Tamandua tetradactyla: one gene and its partner. The protein of the gene in region 2 purifies or fractionates together with the protein of the main gene of each other region. This does not show direct contact. Links are inferred from orthologs where the notes say so. Each region holds a gene or a part of one and is shown on either strand. Other genes may lie near its edges.

Region 1 (7,556 bases), on a different chromosome or scaffold from region 2:
TCTGGTCACTGTTTATCTCTCCAAGGTACCACTCCCCCCCTAGTTTTCCGTATTTTATAGATGAAGAAACTGAAGTACAGTTTAAGCAACTTGTCCCTTCATACTACTGTTGACTGATAGGGCCAAAATTTGAACCCAGTTTCGATCCAGAATCTGCCCTTATCCACCCAGCTATTCTTTTCAGTATTATCAACAAAAAGATTACAATTAGAAACATCTAACTTAAACAAAAAGCAACTAACATACATATGTGACTCTGAAACATATACCACAGATTGGTGCACACTATTAGTACTAACCTATCCTGTTTAACAACAGCCAAAAAAGCAGCATATAAGTAACAGTGGCAGAGATGTATTTCTTTTGTAGCAGCCTACAAAAGGGATCTAGCAAATGACAGAAACTAGACAGTCAATGGCCAGAATTATCCACCAAGATACAGCTGAGCTAGTTGTTTTGTTTTTAAACAGGGTGTTTTTTGGGAGAGAGGCAGAGGACGAACAATTGCTGTCAGACAGACGTCTATAAATAAAGTGCTCAAATTTGAGAGCCAAAAAGTTTCAAATTGTATGTCAAAATAAATGTAATGGAAATGCATGACAGTTCTAAAAGATTTAACAGGTGTTAACCACATTTACCCATCAACTTTCTTCAAATATCAAAGTTGGTAATTTTGGGGAAGCAAGGCTTAAGTTTATGGCTAAAGAACACAGGCAATATTGTGAAAGAATCCTGAAGGGAGCGATGAGTGATACTTCTTTAGGAAGTAAGATCCTTTGTAATACCTGGGCTAAAAGGATGATTTCTGTATGTTATTAACATTAAAGAAAAAAGTAGCTAGTAAGAAATAATTAACTTCATAAAGAAACTACATTTTAATTGAGAGATTTGAATACATCTACTTATGAAATACTAATAATTACACTAATTTTTTTTAACAGTCAGGAAACCAGAAACCACACTAGGTATCCATTCAGTCCTTTATCATTTTCAAGGCACTATGATTAAAGAATATTTTGTCTTCAACAACAAGCCTCAAGCCAGGCAAGCAGTACAGTGAACTTTGGAAACAGCCTTGAGTTCCAGTGCTTGGGTCCTAGCTATTAGCTGTGGTTGCTTGAGAAAGGTACCCTCTTTGAACTCCAATTTTCTTGTTTGTGCCACATATCTGACAGGTTTGTTAAGGGTTAAACAAGATCAAATATATGCGAAAACATCTTGAAAACTGTAAAGTTCTACAAAACATAAGATATTAAAAGGCAAAGGAGGTCTTAATTCCATTTTATAATTTAATACATTAAACCATATCTACTATGTACTGTTGATACAAGAAAAGATCCTACCTAAGGAATTAAGCATAAAGTGGGAAACAAACTAGTAAGCAAATTAAATACAAAATAAGGTGTTCTGAAAGGAGCACAGTATAGCACTCGATTAACAGGGAACCCAGGAATGGAAATATTAAATGACTTTCTCAAGGACAACTGTTTAACAAGTGGATGTGCAGCAGCTAAACCTAAGTCTTCTGACATCAAATCTAGAGCATCATCCACTTTCAAAATGTATTAACTGAACTATACGCTAATTTCAGATTCCTGCATTGTCAATAAATTTTGCCTGCTCATGTAATAGGTTAGAAGTTCTTTCTTAAACCAGTCATAACTCACCACAATAAAAGCAGGAAGTCCATCTTTTCCAAATTAAAGCTTACTGCATAACAACAACACCACTGATAATTTTAATTTAGCTCTTACCAGTTGTGTTTTCTGAATGCTAGATTTTAGTATATGAATACTACACAAAACAAACTTTTTCGCTGTAGTTGAGGTATCATCAAGATTGCAAACGTTACTGTGGATCAGGCAGCCAAAACTTTTGACAATCACGATTGTGTCTTGGCAAAAAAAGAACTGAGAACAAGCACCAAAGTTATGTATAAGTAATGCCCAAACTTCTGAAAAACAATTTTTTTTCTTGAATAACAATTCAGTCGGGAAAAAATGTCAAGATTTCTGTTACACATTTTCTCCAAGAAACAATGTTTCCTGTTAAATGAAAATTAAAACAGCATAAGTTAATTGAAGGGATGTAAGGCTGAGTAAGTATTTAACCCTCAAGTACTCCTATCTTATGCTTTTATATTCCCACAGTGTGTAATTCTACAGTTCTAGTCGTATCATCGCCAAAATGTGGTAAACTGACACTAAGAGTAACAGACCTCAGTAATAGGATTTAGTTTCAATTCAAGGGATAACGCCTGCTACAGAAACATACAACTAGAGCGATAGGGTAATTAAACTTCGATTTTTAAAAACAAATTATCAAATGAATAAACTATTCTCGGACCTTCGTTACCTCAGGTCATTTCCACACGGTGGCCGTTCTCACTGATTCGATCTGGACACTTCTGCCTTCATCAAGAGGCAGGAAAAATTTTGGTAGTATTACTGGGGAGGAAGGAAAAAGGGATGGAATTCTCAGGCCCGGAAAAAAACAAAGCACTCAGCGTCCTGGAGCTGGGAGGTGTCAGAGCGTCCTCTCCAAGCCGCCCCACCTTAAGTCATCCTCACTTTAAACCCACTGAAGAGGGTGTACTGTTTAACTTGTCATCACCAGATTTCCTCGCACGTACAGTGATGCCTCTGGAATCTGAAAGACCGACACCGAGCCGGCAAGGAGGCTTGCTACACATCCGGGGGACGGTGGCGGTGTCCAAATACTTCCCGCGCACGGACGGGAAAGGGAGGGGGTGTTAGCCCGGGGCCTACCCTCTTTCGACCACCCAGGTCACAGGACACAAACCAAAGTGAGTTCTTGGAGAAACCGAGCTGGGGCACCAGTCACCTGAGGAATGTGTCCGAATTCCGTACTGGGGTCCCGCGCCGCGATCTGTAACCGGGTAGATGAAACCTGTTCCACCCGCACCAGCCACCGATCCGCACCAACCACCGATCCGCCTCAGCGTGCGCTTTGCTCGACCCCACCGCGCATGCGGAACCACCTCGTACCACGCAAGCGCTAACAGAGTAGAGGCCCTACATCACTGATCATAGAGTCGAGGTCCTCCGAGAACTAGGAAGAATGAGGGTCACAGCAGGATTTGAATAGTATTCGTTCTCGTTATCTTTATTGTTCCCTGAGAAATCTTTAAGGCGCGCGCGAGAGGTAGGACTGTGACTCCTTGTCCCTGAAGAATGAATCCTTTATCAAAGTTTTCGTCAACCACGTGGTGGCGCTGTGGACAAAGACGGAAAGTGGAAGAAGACAAGGAGTGTTCTCTTCCCTTTAGGCCGGCGCACGCAGCGCCAGGCGCAGCCATCGGACTACAGGCGAACCGGAATCCAGTGACAGTTCGCGGAGCCAGAGCTTCAACATCCGGGCATTACCTCCTTCCCAGCCCTCCTCCTCCTATGCCGACAGGAAGCGGAAGTGAAGAGTGCATATCCCGCTGCCTCTTAGCAACGGGAGGGGTTTCGTGACCCAACCCCCTGACTCCGGTAGTGGCGTGCGAGGACTGGAACTATTGCAGCCACGATTGCCCGGCGGGGACCAGAGCCGTACAGTCATCGTCAGAATGTCGGGCAAAGACCGAATTGAGATCTTTCCCTCGCGAATGTAAGTAAGAGAATGTGTCGCGTGACACCCGTAGGTTCAGGAACGCCTGCCCGGAATGCGGTACCTCCATATTCTGAACCAGCAGCTAGGTACCTTGTTTCTTGAGTCCCTCTTGAACTGCCCTCAGCTTCTTACTTCGTGGTCTGTGGTGAACGCTCCCGAAGAGCGCCCACACCCAGTCCTCTTGAATGTTACAGATCGGACAGAATGATTCAGGTTATAGGAACAGGCGCCCTGACTTTTGTGAAAAGTCACCCATTTCACGAAACATTGCTATGTGCCAGGCCCTGAGACGGGCATTGGATTTATATGACTGAATCTTCGCATTCCTGTCCTCACAGAGCTTACAGTTTAGTGGTGAGGAAGACAAACAAATGAGATTTGGTAAATTATCTGAAAAGGGAAGTTTACTGGAGTGGAGAAGGGGCATGTAAACCAAATTAGCGATAGAATCGAATCACTCTTGTATGGACGTCAGAGATCTTGAATCGTCCTATTCATTTTCCAAAACTCCACCTGCCCTGAAAAGACATCCTGTGTTTCTGAGGCACGCCATCACCACTACACCTTGTTCAGACCTCCGTTGCCTGATGAAGTGATATTTGTTTACATACATTTCTCTCCCGCTAGAATGTTAGCACTCCAGGTTGAAAGTGTCTTCAATATTTACACATTTAGAAAGTACACAAAAAATGTTGCTTGAACAAATTTTTGCCTTGGAGTCTGCTTAGCCGTAGGATACGATTTCTTTGGGTCCGAACTCTTTGGCAGAAGAAAGAACTGTACCCCAGGTTTTTGGCCAGTTTGAAAATTTTTCTCAAATCCCCTTAACAGATTGTGGAGTTGCAGAGAGTAAAAATGTTCTTATTTGTGTTGTCCTCCACCTTCTCTCCTTTTTTTCAGTGAGGAGGCAGAAAATCAGATTTGCCTCTGGCATTAGATTGTTTGATTGTCGTCCTACATAGAATCTGAGAATACAATTAAACAGTTATATTCAAACTCAAAGGCCCATCTCTGCTAGGTTGGCTACAGCTCTTAATAAAATGAATGCTTTCTTTACCTTCACCTGTTGGCTTTCTCTTAGCTGTATGTATTAGATAGAAGCAAACTAATTGTGTAGAAGGGCAATAGATGTGAAAATAGATAAGAATGTTAACATTTCTTGCTTTTATTTTGGAACTTTTACTTTGTTTGGGATTTAGAGGTGAGAAAAATGTGAAAGCAAAAATTGCAGTTTGAGAGTACTTGAGAGTAGGTAGCTTGCTGCCTGAGAGGAAAATCAGATGCAGGAAGTAATTCCTTCTCTAAATATTTTCCTATGGCCTGACAAAGGTGCTTTGTCATGGAATCATATGTCTTTGATTCATCTGGAAAGAAAGTCATCATCCTGAAGGTCAAATATTTTTTGTAGGGGTAAGTAGCTCTGAAACTTGTAAAAGAAAAAATTTTTAAGACCTGGGCTAGAACATATACTGATGATTACTGTTATACAGACAGTTCAAATACTGTAAGGATAAGACAAAATTATTTTGTTAAATGTTGCTTAGGCGCACTTATGCACAAGAGAAATCAAAACAAGTTTAGAGTAAAAGCAAAAGAGGCATGAAGGATTTGGAGTCAACAGAGGTCTGTCAAATCCAGGTTCTATTATTACATATTAGCTATAAGCCCCCTTGGGTTAAGAGTGTATGTCATTTTTAGAGTCTCAATAAATGAAATTTGTTCATGTCACAGAGATGCCGTTACCTAGGAGGAAATAAAAATCAGCGTGGAGAACTTAATCTATTCACCTTCATACTGTGAACTTCATGGAATCTTCAGTACTAGGGTTTGACTTAAATTTGATCCAGGTCTTTGAGCCCAAATTCTGGCATTTAGTGTAAACAATACGGTGTGTTTCATGTACACATTCCTGCTCATGCTGGAAGCTCAACCTGCTTTAGTTGGCTAGACTTCTGATGAGGACAGTCGGTGCAAAGTCAACTACTGATAGCTCTTTCAAACAGAGCTATCATCTGATGCTACTTGTAATCTTTACTGGGAGGCAGCATGTCGTATGGTTAGGTACTAGGTTTGTCCCTTACTTTGAGCCTTGGGCAGATCACTAGAGACAGAAATCTGTGATTCAAGTTCCTGCCCTGCTTTTTCTTCTCTGAGTAACTGTGGGAAAGTGCTCCACTTCTCTGAGCCTCATTTTCTTGATCTTTAATATAATATTTGAAGTCCCTTTCGGCTACAAAATTGTGACAGTAACTTTAACTCTATTGCAGAAGAATTTCAGTATAATCTGAGAATTTAGCCTCAAGGTATAATAATTGCTATTTTGCATTGATTAATACCACCAGTGATATGAAATTATGTCCCCTTTTACAAATCACTATAAGTGCCTTGGTCATCCAATCTGCTGTTAAATTTTATTGTATAAACATTTTTATTTCATCATTAAATTATATCTAGCATAGAATAGAAATGTCAATTTCTGCTGTTACTTTCTTGACTATGGTATTGGTTTCTGATGGGAAAATATTAAAATGAGTTTAGCAGACTTCAGTATAAGTTTAATTTGCCACTGCTCGGGAGTCATATATGCCATTTGTTACGTAGAGTCATTTACAGATTAATAAAATGATTAGTATTTGTGTTTTTTCAATATGAACTTTTTTATCACATAGTTGTATATTCATCATCATGAACATTTCTTAGAACATTTGCATCAATTCAGAAAAAGAAATAAAAAGAAAACAAAGAAAAATTCATGCATACCATACCCCTTGCCCCCTCCCTTTCATTGATCACTAGCATTTCAATCTACTAAATTTATTTTAACATTTGTTCCCCCTATTATTCATCTTTATTCCATATGTTTTACTCATATGTTGATAAGGTAGATAAAAGGAGCATCAGACACAAGGTTTTCACAATCATGTAGTCACATTGCGAAAGCTGTGTCATTATATAATCATCTTCAAGAAACATGGCTATTGGAACACAGCTCTACATTTTCAGGCAGTTCCCTCCAGCGTCTCTGTTAAGCCTTAACTAAAAAGGTGGTATCTATTTAATGTGTAGGAATAAACTCCAGGATAACCTCTTAACTCTGTTTGGAATCTCTCAGCCATTGACACTTTATTTTGTCTCATTTCTCAATTCCCCCTTTCAGCGGAGAATGTTTTCTCAATCCCTTGGTGCTGAGTCCCAGCTCATTCTAGGATTTCTGTCCCACATTGCCAGGAAAGTCCACGCTCCTGGGAGTCATGTCCCATGTAGAGAGGGAGGGCTGTGAGTTTGCTTGTCATCTTGCCTGAGAGAGAGAAGCCACATCTGAGCAACAAAAGAGGTTCTCTTGAGGGAGAAAGAGAAAGGTCTAATTTTAAGTAGGCTCAGCCTGTCCTTTGCAAGGGTTAAGTTTCACATGAACAAACCCCAAGATTGGGGGCTCAGCCTATTGCTTTGATTGTCCCCACTGCTTATGAGAATATCAAGAATTCTCCGCTTGGGGAAATTGAATTTTCCCCCTTTCTCACCATTCCCACAAGGAGACTTTGCAAATACCTTTTTATTCACTGTTCAAATCTTTCTGGGATTTACTGAGGCATCACTCTAGACAAACCTACAGAATCTCATGCCCTATTCAAGATTCCATGTACTTACTGTGTTCAGTTAAACTGACCATACAAGTTAAATTAGGAAATGCACTACCCAACATATAAACTTGGCATCAAATAAACATCATCTCTCCCTTTAGTCTCACACAGAAGTTGAAGTTTTAAAATATGGATGATATCATCCTTTACCCAGTCTTCTGATATACTTTAGTCCTATGCAGATAAGCTTCATTCATATCTCTGTTTGATGGCTGATCACTTTTTCAATTTTTTAAACAGTTACTGTATGGGATACTATTGACTTTCATAGCTTCAGAGCTCTAACTCTAAATCTCA
Region 2 (7,965 bases):
ACAGAGAAAGAAGAAAACCAGTTATGGAATGAAGCTTGCTATCAGGCTAGCAACGCGCCTGCCATGGGATTTCCCATCTGAATCAACGGAAGACAGGGGTGGTTTCCTGGGGCTGTCATGAGCCACAGCTGCTGCCTCCTCCCACAGGTACCTCAGGGGCCCAGCCTCTTGCAAAGGATTGCATTAGGGCTCACACAGTCCTCCCGACAGAGTTCACATGCAACCGCATGCAACACACTTGGGGCCCAGGAGTCCCAGCCAACAGCCTCTCTTCCCCCCAGACCCAGGAGTTTCAGCTCCCTGCCCCCTCTTAACTAAGACTCAAGAACCTGGGCCCCTAGCACCCACCTTTCTGGCCTTTAGAGGACTCTCAGGGTCTGGATCTCGGATGGGGGGTTCTGAGGACTTGAGCCGCCTTTGTAGTCGGAGGGGCAGCCTAGGAGGAGCCCAGGGAGGTGGTGGCTTTTCTCCAGGCAAATAGATGGCCACTTGGAAGGGGTGGGGCTCAGTCTCTCCCCATTCCTCAGCAGCTCCTTCTCCTTCAGTGTCCTCTCCAGGTTGACATATCCAGGTCTTTAAGAAGGTAGTCTGGGCTTGAAAGGAGGGACACGGCTCTGAGTCAGATTGTTCTCTTCCCTCAGCTGCTTCTGAATCATCGCCTTTATCTTCATTCTCCTCCTCTGTGTCCTCTCCTGGGTGATACACCCAGGACCTCAGGAAGACACCCTTGGGTGGGATGGAAGAAGCCTGAGCTGCTCCCTCTTCCTCAGCTGCTCCTGAATCACTGCCCTCATCTTCCTCCTCTGTGTCTTCTCCTGGGTGGTACACCCAGGCCTTCAGTAAGGCACTTGTGGATGGGTTGGAAGGGGAAGTCTTGGCTGCTCCCTCTTCCTCAGCTGTTTCTGAATCACTGTCCTCATCTTCCTCCTCTGTGTCCTCTCCTGGGTGATATACCCAGGCCTTCAGGAAGGCACTCATGGGTGGGATATCAGAGGAAGCTTCAGCTGCTCCCTCTTCCTCAGCTACTACTTCTTCCTCATCTGATACTGAAACACTGTCCTCATCCTCTCCTTCATCTTCATCTTCTCCTTCATCTTCTTCCTCCTTTGTGTCCTCTCCTGGGTGATACACCCAGGCCTTTAGGAAGGTACTCGTGGGTGGGATGTCAGAGGAAGCCTCAGCTGCTCCCTCTTCCTCAGCTGCCCTTGAAGCACTGTCTTCATCCTCTTCTTCCTCCTCTGTGTCCTCTCCTGGGTGATACACCCAGGCCTTTAGGAAGGTACTCGTGGGTGGGATGTCAGAGGAAGCCTCAGCTGCTCCCTCTTCCTTAGCTGCCCTTGAAGCACTGTCTTCATCCTCTTCTTCCTCCTCTGTGTCCTCCTCTGGGTGATACACCCAGGCCCTCAGGAAGACACTTGTAGGTGGGCTGCAAGAGGAAGCCTCAGCTGTTCCCTCTGCCTTAGCTGCCCCTGAAGCACTGTACTCATCCTTCCCATCTTCTTCCTCTGTGTTCCTACTGGGTTGATACTCCCACACCCTTAGCAGGGACCGCTGCATGGGCATAGAGGAGTGCATCTCTGGCTTGGCAGCTTCTTTCTCAGCTGCTTCATTTACCTTTTCATCCTTCTCCTCCTTAGATTCCTGTCTTGAACAATACTCCCTGGCCCTGGAGTTAGACTTTGAAGAGGAACAGGAAATGGAAGTTTCTGTAGCTTCTTTATTCTCTGTTCTTCCTGCCTCAGTGCCTTGATCCTTTTCAACTTTTTCTTCCTTCTTTACCTCCTGTAGACAACATACCCAAGCACTGGGCTTGGAGGCCGAAGATAAGAGGGATGTAGAGGTCCCAGCAGTTTCTTTCTTCATAGCTTTTCCATCCTCATCCTCCTTTTTCACCACCCCTAGACAATACTCCCAGGGTGTAGGGTCTAGTGATGGAGAACAGAGAAAGGCCTTGCTTATTTCTTTTTCTTCAGCTACTTCCTCCTCTTCCTCAGAGTCCTCCTCCCCAGGAGGATACTGCAGGGTTCCCATCAGAAACGTGGGGGATGGGGGAGCAGGCCCACCTTCGGCAAGTGTACTTCTCTGCTTTCTGGCAACATCGGTTGCTTCTTCCTTGCTATACTCTTCCTCAACATCATCAGAAAAACCCCAGGCTTCAAGAAGAGAACTGGTGGCTTGTGGGCCAGGACAGGTCTTCCAGTCTGCTTTTCCAGCCTCCTCAGCTGCACCACTATCTTCGGTCTTCTCCTGAGGGTGCCTGTCCCAGGGGGCAAGGTGGGTGGCCAGAGAAGCCTTAGCTTTTCCCTCCAGGCCAGATTCCACCTGGTCAGCTCCTGTTGCTGCTTCCACCAGCCAGGGCTCTGGGGACCCAGGGCCCCTCAGGCAACTCCAGGCCCGGCTGAGGAGGCCCATCAACGGGGACAGGAAGAAGAAGGGGTGAGTATCCCTCCAGGGGATGGCCTGACGTGCTGTTTGGTTTGGAGCCATCCCTTTGGGCTGGAAAAAAGAGGGGGAAAAGAAAACAGAATAAAGTTTAGGAGCCATTTAGGGGATGGAATTAGGGCATGAGGGTGAGTCACAGCCACGGAAACAGTAACAACAACTAGCAACATAAGAATTCCTGCCATAAATTCCTTTGTGATTCTGGCCACTCCCATGTCCCTTAGGTCCCTTCTCTCTCCTCACGTCATCCCCACGAGTCTGGCTGTCCGTTTCTCTCGTTCCTTAGACCCAGGAGTCCAAGCCCCTTCTCCACTCCGTCCCCTCTTCCTTCCGACCCAGAGCCAAGGAAAAGGGTCCTTCCCTTGCTTCCCCTGAGGACAAAGCCCCAGTCCCTAGTCCTCGCCTTCTCTTAAAAGGTGACAAACCACCACCGCCCTCCTTCCTCAGAGACTCAAACACGGACCCCCAGATGGTTCCTTCACCTCCAAGTTCTCCCCGCCGACTCAGGTCCAGGACCCCAGACTCCCAACCCTCCCTCTTTTCCTAAGTCCGGGTCCCCAGCTGCCTGGGGACTCCGGCGTTGCGACCCCTCACGCACCGGCAGCGAATCACCCAGGAGGCAGGAGCGCCGGCTCGGGCTGCCAGAAGCGATCGCAGGTCCAGGCGGCTCGGGAAGCCGACGCTTTCATTTCGCCCTCAGAGGCGTCGGACTCGGGGTTCAAAGGATCTCCGGCTGCCGCAGCTGCAATGGCGACGAGGCTCGCGGGGTCGGACGATATGGCGCATGAAATCAACAACTCGGCTGGTAACCTTTGATGGCCCCAGCCGCAAGGCCTTTATATGTTTTCGCGGCCGGACGTGCTGACGTCACGCGCGGAGGCGGGGTTTCTACACGTAAAGACGGGGAGTTGGAAAGGGCAAAAATAGAACTGAACCCTGCGGAGACTCCCGAGCTTCGTGACGTCACCGCGGCATTTCCGAGCGTGGCCACGCCCCCAACCACGCGAGCTGTCAATCAAAGGCGTAAACGGCGCGCTCTATAGCTCAACCTCTGCTCCCGATTTTCCAGACGGACGCAATCCCACCCCAGTTTAACCAGTCTGCAGTCTCCCACCGCCATAGGCGGCCCGCTTCCTCCCGGCTGTGAGCGGGTATCCCCGTTCCCATTGCACAGACGAGGAAACTGAGGCTTGGGAATGAAGTCACAAGTAGAATCCAGATTTATTCCAAATGAGAACCGTGGGAGCAGCAAGAAGACAAGCATTTTGGCTTGCTCGCCACTTTTTTCTCAGTGGCCCCAGCAGTGCTGGCACATAGTAGGTGCTCTGCAAATAAAGTAGATAGACCCGCAGGAGGCTCCACTTCAGGATTTCACTCACTTCAAATTTATGGCAAAGCTCTGCTCCTGAAAGCTGGAATCATCTGGCCCGATAGCAGCAGCTGAACCTCGGGGTGGGGGTGGGGGTGGGGGTGGGGGGATGGGGCTTCTGCCATAAGTTCCAGTGCCCCAGGCCTGTTCCCCTGCCTGGTCCGAAACCTGTCACACCCAAGGTGATGGGTGTCGCCCACGACCCAGGACAGAATTCTCATCTGCATCTGAGATGCAGGTTTGATCACTTAGATGCAGAATCCAGGAGTCCGGGCCAACCCCTCCTCCCCGGGGGGCACCTGGACAAACTGCCCCCAGCTCCATCCACTCAAAGCCACACTTGCAGACTGAGGTTCTATTCACAACCAGACACCCTGAGTCCTAACCTGCACTCTCTCGGGCACCCAGGGGTCCAATACCTCCTAGGCTCTAGGAGTCCAGGCTCCTTACCCCCTGCAAGATGCAAGCCCCTCCTTTCAGGGCGCCAGTGGCCCAGGCCCCTGACTGCAGGTGGCCCACTGGGACCCTGAGTCCAGGCCCCAGCTCCTACTCTCCAAACATTTCAGAGCCCCCTCAGCCCTTAGGGGACCCAGGAGTCAGGGCCCACAGCCCCTCCCCTCAGCCATGGGGACAGCTGAGCCAGGGGTCAGGCTGAGGAAGCCAGAAGGGGCGGGGACAGCCGGGATTGGGAGGGAAGATAGCGGGCGTGGGCGGCTGGCAGAGGGAGGGAGAGAAAGGGAGACCAGCAGAGAGGAAAGAGAAACTGGGAGAGGAAGGGAGAGAGAAAGTGAGAAGGAGAATCTGCAGAGAGCGTGGAAACAGCAGACGTGGAGGGTCACTGAGAGAGAGAAAAGAAAGAGGAAGAGACTAAGAGGGAAGGAGGGAGAGACCCAGCAAGACACACATGGAGAGAAAGAGCGAAACAGAGACTTCAGGAAGAGAGTGACTGAAGAGACTCCCTGAATCGGAGACAAAAAGATTGGGAGAGAAACAAAAAGATTGGGAGGGAATGTGATACAGGGAGGAGAGAATGAGTGAGGGAGAGACTGGATGCGCCAGAGATTGGGGAGAGAGAGAGAGAGTAGGTGAGACTGAAGAGAGAGACAGTTTAAAAGAAAGAGAGAGAGGAAGAGGAAGAGAGGGAGAGAGAGATTCTAAGAGACAGACAAAAAGAGAGGGTGAGTGAACAGGTGAGGAGAGAGAGAGAGAGAGAGAGAGAGAGAGAGAGAGAGAGAGAGAGAGAGAGAGAGAGAGGAGTGGGGAGACTGTGTCTAGAGAGCCAGCCTCTTGGGCACCCCAGAACCCACACTGCCCTCTTGCCCCCTGTCGTTAGAACTCCAGAGCTGGGTAAGTTCCCTGGCTGGGTTGGGAGGGGCTGTCCGGGCTGTGCCTCAGGGCTTGGCTTGGGGTGTTGGCAGAGATGGTTTGGGGGTGAACCTGGAGGGCAGGAGACAGGCAGCCTGGGGTGGCTAGAAAGGCAGTGGGAGTTCCTAAACCCAGAGAGGGTCAAATTCCTGGCTGGAGGGAAGGGGGCAATAAGAAAGGAGCCCCTATTTTCTGTCTTGGCTGCAAACAGCTGCCCCCTCCCCAGCAGCTGCCAATGCCGCCCACCTCTCTTGGCCTTGCTCTTGGTATGTGCTCCCCAAGCCAGGACCTCCCCTCCCTGCCTCCCACCCCCCCACCCTGGTCCCCAGACAACAGACTCTTTCTCCTCAGCCTCCTCCGACCTCCGGGCCCCTGACTCCCGGCTCTGTCCCCAGCCGGGTCAGCTGCAGAGACACAGTCCCTTTCTTTCTCTCGGCAAGCCCTCGATGGAGGAGGGCCGGCCTCGGAGCAGCCTCAGCCTCGCCAGCAGTGCATCCACCATCTCCTCGCTCAGCAACCTGAGCACCAAGGTTCGAGAGCTTCCTGGCGGGGATGGGGAGGAGGGTGGGGCTCTGGGATCATCTCCTCCGCATGCCCCTCCTCCTGTTCCCTGGCCCGGGATTCTGCACCATCCCAGACTCCTAGTCTTGACTGCAGCGGACAAAGGATACTTAGCAGCAGGGTCTGCCAGGCTGGTATGGTCCCAAATTGCTGACCAGCTGTGGCTAGGAATTCAGAGGCACTCCCACCTCTGTCCCCACCCCTTCATAGTTTCCTAATTCTAAGCCAGAGTAACAACCCTGCTTGGCCCTGCTTGCTAAGATAAAGCCACTCCCCAGCAAGGAGGAGACCCCCCCCCATCAGGAGCTCAGAATCGGTGGCTACTCTTGACCAAGGTGAGGACTCCCTGTCCTGTTTGTAGCCCTTGGATCTACCCAGTTAGGAAAGAATCCCTCCCTGGCCATAAAATCCCAGCAGGCCCGAGAGCCTGGCATCCAAATTGTCACCCCAGCCAGAGGTTCAGCAACAACACTCATTTCCTCGGTCTCCTGCCGTTCCCCTGATGTGTTTCCAGTTTCCAAGTTCAAAGTCTAGAGATTTGGTCTATGGCACAATTTCCCAGAAGGGTGTCCTTGTGGCAATCTGGATAAGCAGCCCCTTCTGAGCATGAGGTGGGGGGTCTGGAGTCCCCCTCAAGCCTGGACACGGCCGCTAAGGAATATCACTGTCCAGCACCGAGGCTTGGGGAGCCTTGTGAAACTGTGTCATTTGATCCAGGCAGCTCCATCCCCAGGGCCTCAGAATGGGGACATTCCTCTTGATGAAGGGGACCTCCCAGCCACCATTTCCAGTTGGGATCCAATGGCTCCACTATATCTCTGGTTTTGGTGGCCAAGGGCATCCTCTCCCAAATTGCTTCCCCAGTGGCCAGGAGCCTCTTCCTTGCTTCTCAACCCTGCCTTACCTACATCCAACTCTGGTTTCAAGACCTGGTTTCTCAAGAGTCCAGCCAGGGCCCTGCTCACTTGTATCCCCCTTCCGTCCTCAGAAGCCCACCCGGGCAGTCAGCAAGGTCCACGCCTTTGGGAAGAGGGGCAATGCACTGAGAAGGGACCCCAACCTCCCCGTGCACATCCGAGGCTGGCTTCATAAGCAGGTGCAGGGGCGTGGGGAGGGCGTGGGGGGTCAGCAGGGGAAGGGGAAGTTCCCTTGGACCGTCTCCAGCCTGTGCCACAAATGGTTCCCTGTTTCTTTCCTTCCAAGCACCAAAATATATTTCTTTTGTTGCTGTCACTGCCTTCCCCCTTATTCTGTCATTCATTTATTCAATGACTAATTAAAAAAAAAGACTTGTTATTTTGAAATAATTTCAAGCTTACAGGACAGTTACAAAAACCTATTTGAACTCCGATATACTCCTTTATCTCCTCTCGAGATTTACCAACTTTAACATTTTGCCACATTTCTTATAATTGCTCTGTCATCCCATCCATCTGTATATGTCTTTCTATCTATTTTCTAAACACTTGAGAATAAGTTGTATACATCATGTACCCTCAACACTTAACATTGCCACGTACATTTCCTAAGAAGGCTATCCTTTATGGAACCACTTTAAGTGCCGTTATCAAGTTCAAGGACTCGAACATTGATATAAAGCTTACAGTCTGTAGTTCATTCCTTCACTATTTCCTGAGCACTTACAATGTGCCCGGGACCAGGGGACACACCACCCAAATAAGACAAATTTCTGTTATTTTCAGGATGGTGGTGAGGCAAGGATGGCTAGTAAGTTAGAAAATGAATAAATAGACATGATAATTTCCACCTGTAGTAAGGGCTGTGAAGAAGTCACAGGGCGGGGCTGTGATCAAAGCCTGGGGGATGGGGGTACAACTGACCGCTGGCCAGGGAAGTCCAGTCGGAGGTGCTGACATTTGAGCTGAGAACCAAATGACAAGGAGCTCGCTGCCCTAAGATCTGGGAGCAGAGGGAATTAGAAAGTTAAAGGCCTCACACAGCAGGCAAAGGCAGGGAGGAGAGAGGTAGGAGGGGCAACGGGTTTTCAAAGTGGGGTGCCCAGACCGGCAGCCTCACTATCACCCTGAACTTGCTAGAAATACAAGCTCTCGGGCCCACCCTAGATTTATGGAATCAGCCCCTCTGGGGGGTGAGGCCCGGGAACCTGAGTTTGAAGGAGCCTCCTGGGGTGCCTCAGGCAAGCTCTGGTGGGAGATCCACTGCTCTCGGGCCCCGTAAGGCAGGGGACGGAATGTGGGTTTTATTCC

What was found.
Region 1: the proteins of PPP1R15A (region 2) and EIF2S1 purify together in Homo sapiens (affinity purification with western blotting; 4 studies listed by BioGRID and IntAct, with this or other methods). This does not show direct contact. The link is inferred for Tamandua tetradactyla from reciprocal best matches to the Homo sapiens genes PPP1R15A and EIF2S1.

The regions. Positions count from the first base shown.
Region 1 is NC_135338.1:24,873,398-24,880,953, reverse strand, and holds the start of EIF2S1 (eukaryotic translation initiation factor 2 subunit 1), read right to left. Parts: upstream 3,015-7,556; 5' UTR 2,845-3,014; intron 2,448-2,844; 5' UTR 2,356-2,447; exon of another isoform or gene 2,347-2,355; intron 1-2,346. Other genes in the region: ATP6V1D (V-type proton ATPase subunit D), read left to right, coding at 3,575-3,615. UniProt on the Homo sapiens protein: Member of the eIF2 complex that functions in the early steps of protein synthesis by forming a ternary complex with GTP and initiator tRNA. This complex binds to a 40S ribosomal subunit, followed by mRNA binding to form a 43S pre-initiation complex (43S PIC).
Region 2 is NC_135342.1:12,180,816-12,188,780, forward strand, and holds the start of PPP1R15A (protein phosphatase 1 regulatory subunit 15A), read right to left. Parts: upstream 3,019-7,965; 5' UTR 2,545-3,018; coding exon 349-2,544; intron 1-348. Other genes in the region: PLEKHA4 (pleckstrin homology domain-containing family A member 4), read left to right, coding at 5,623-5,706, 6,726-6,833. UniProt on the Homo sapiens protein: Recruits the serine/threonine-protein phosphatase PPP1CA to prevents excessive phosphorylation of the translation initiation factor eIF-2A/EIF2S1, thereby reversing the shut-off of protein synthesis initiated by stress-inducible kinases and facilitating recovery of cells from stress.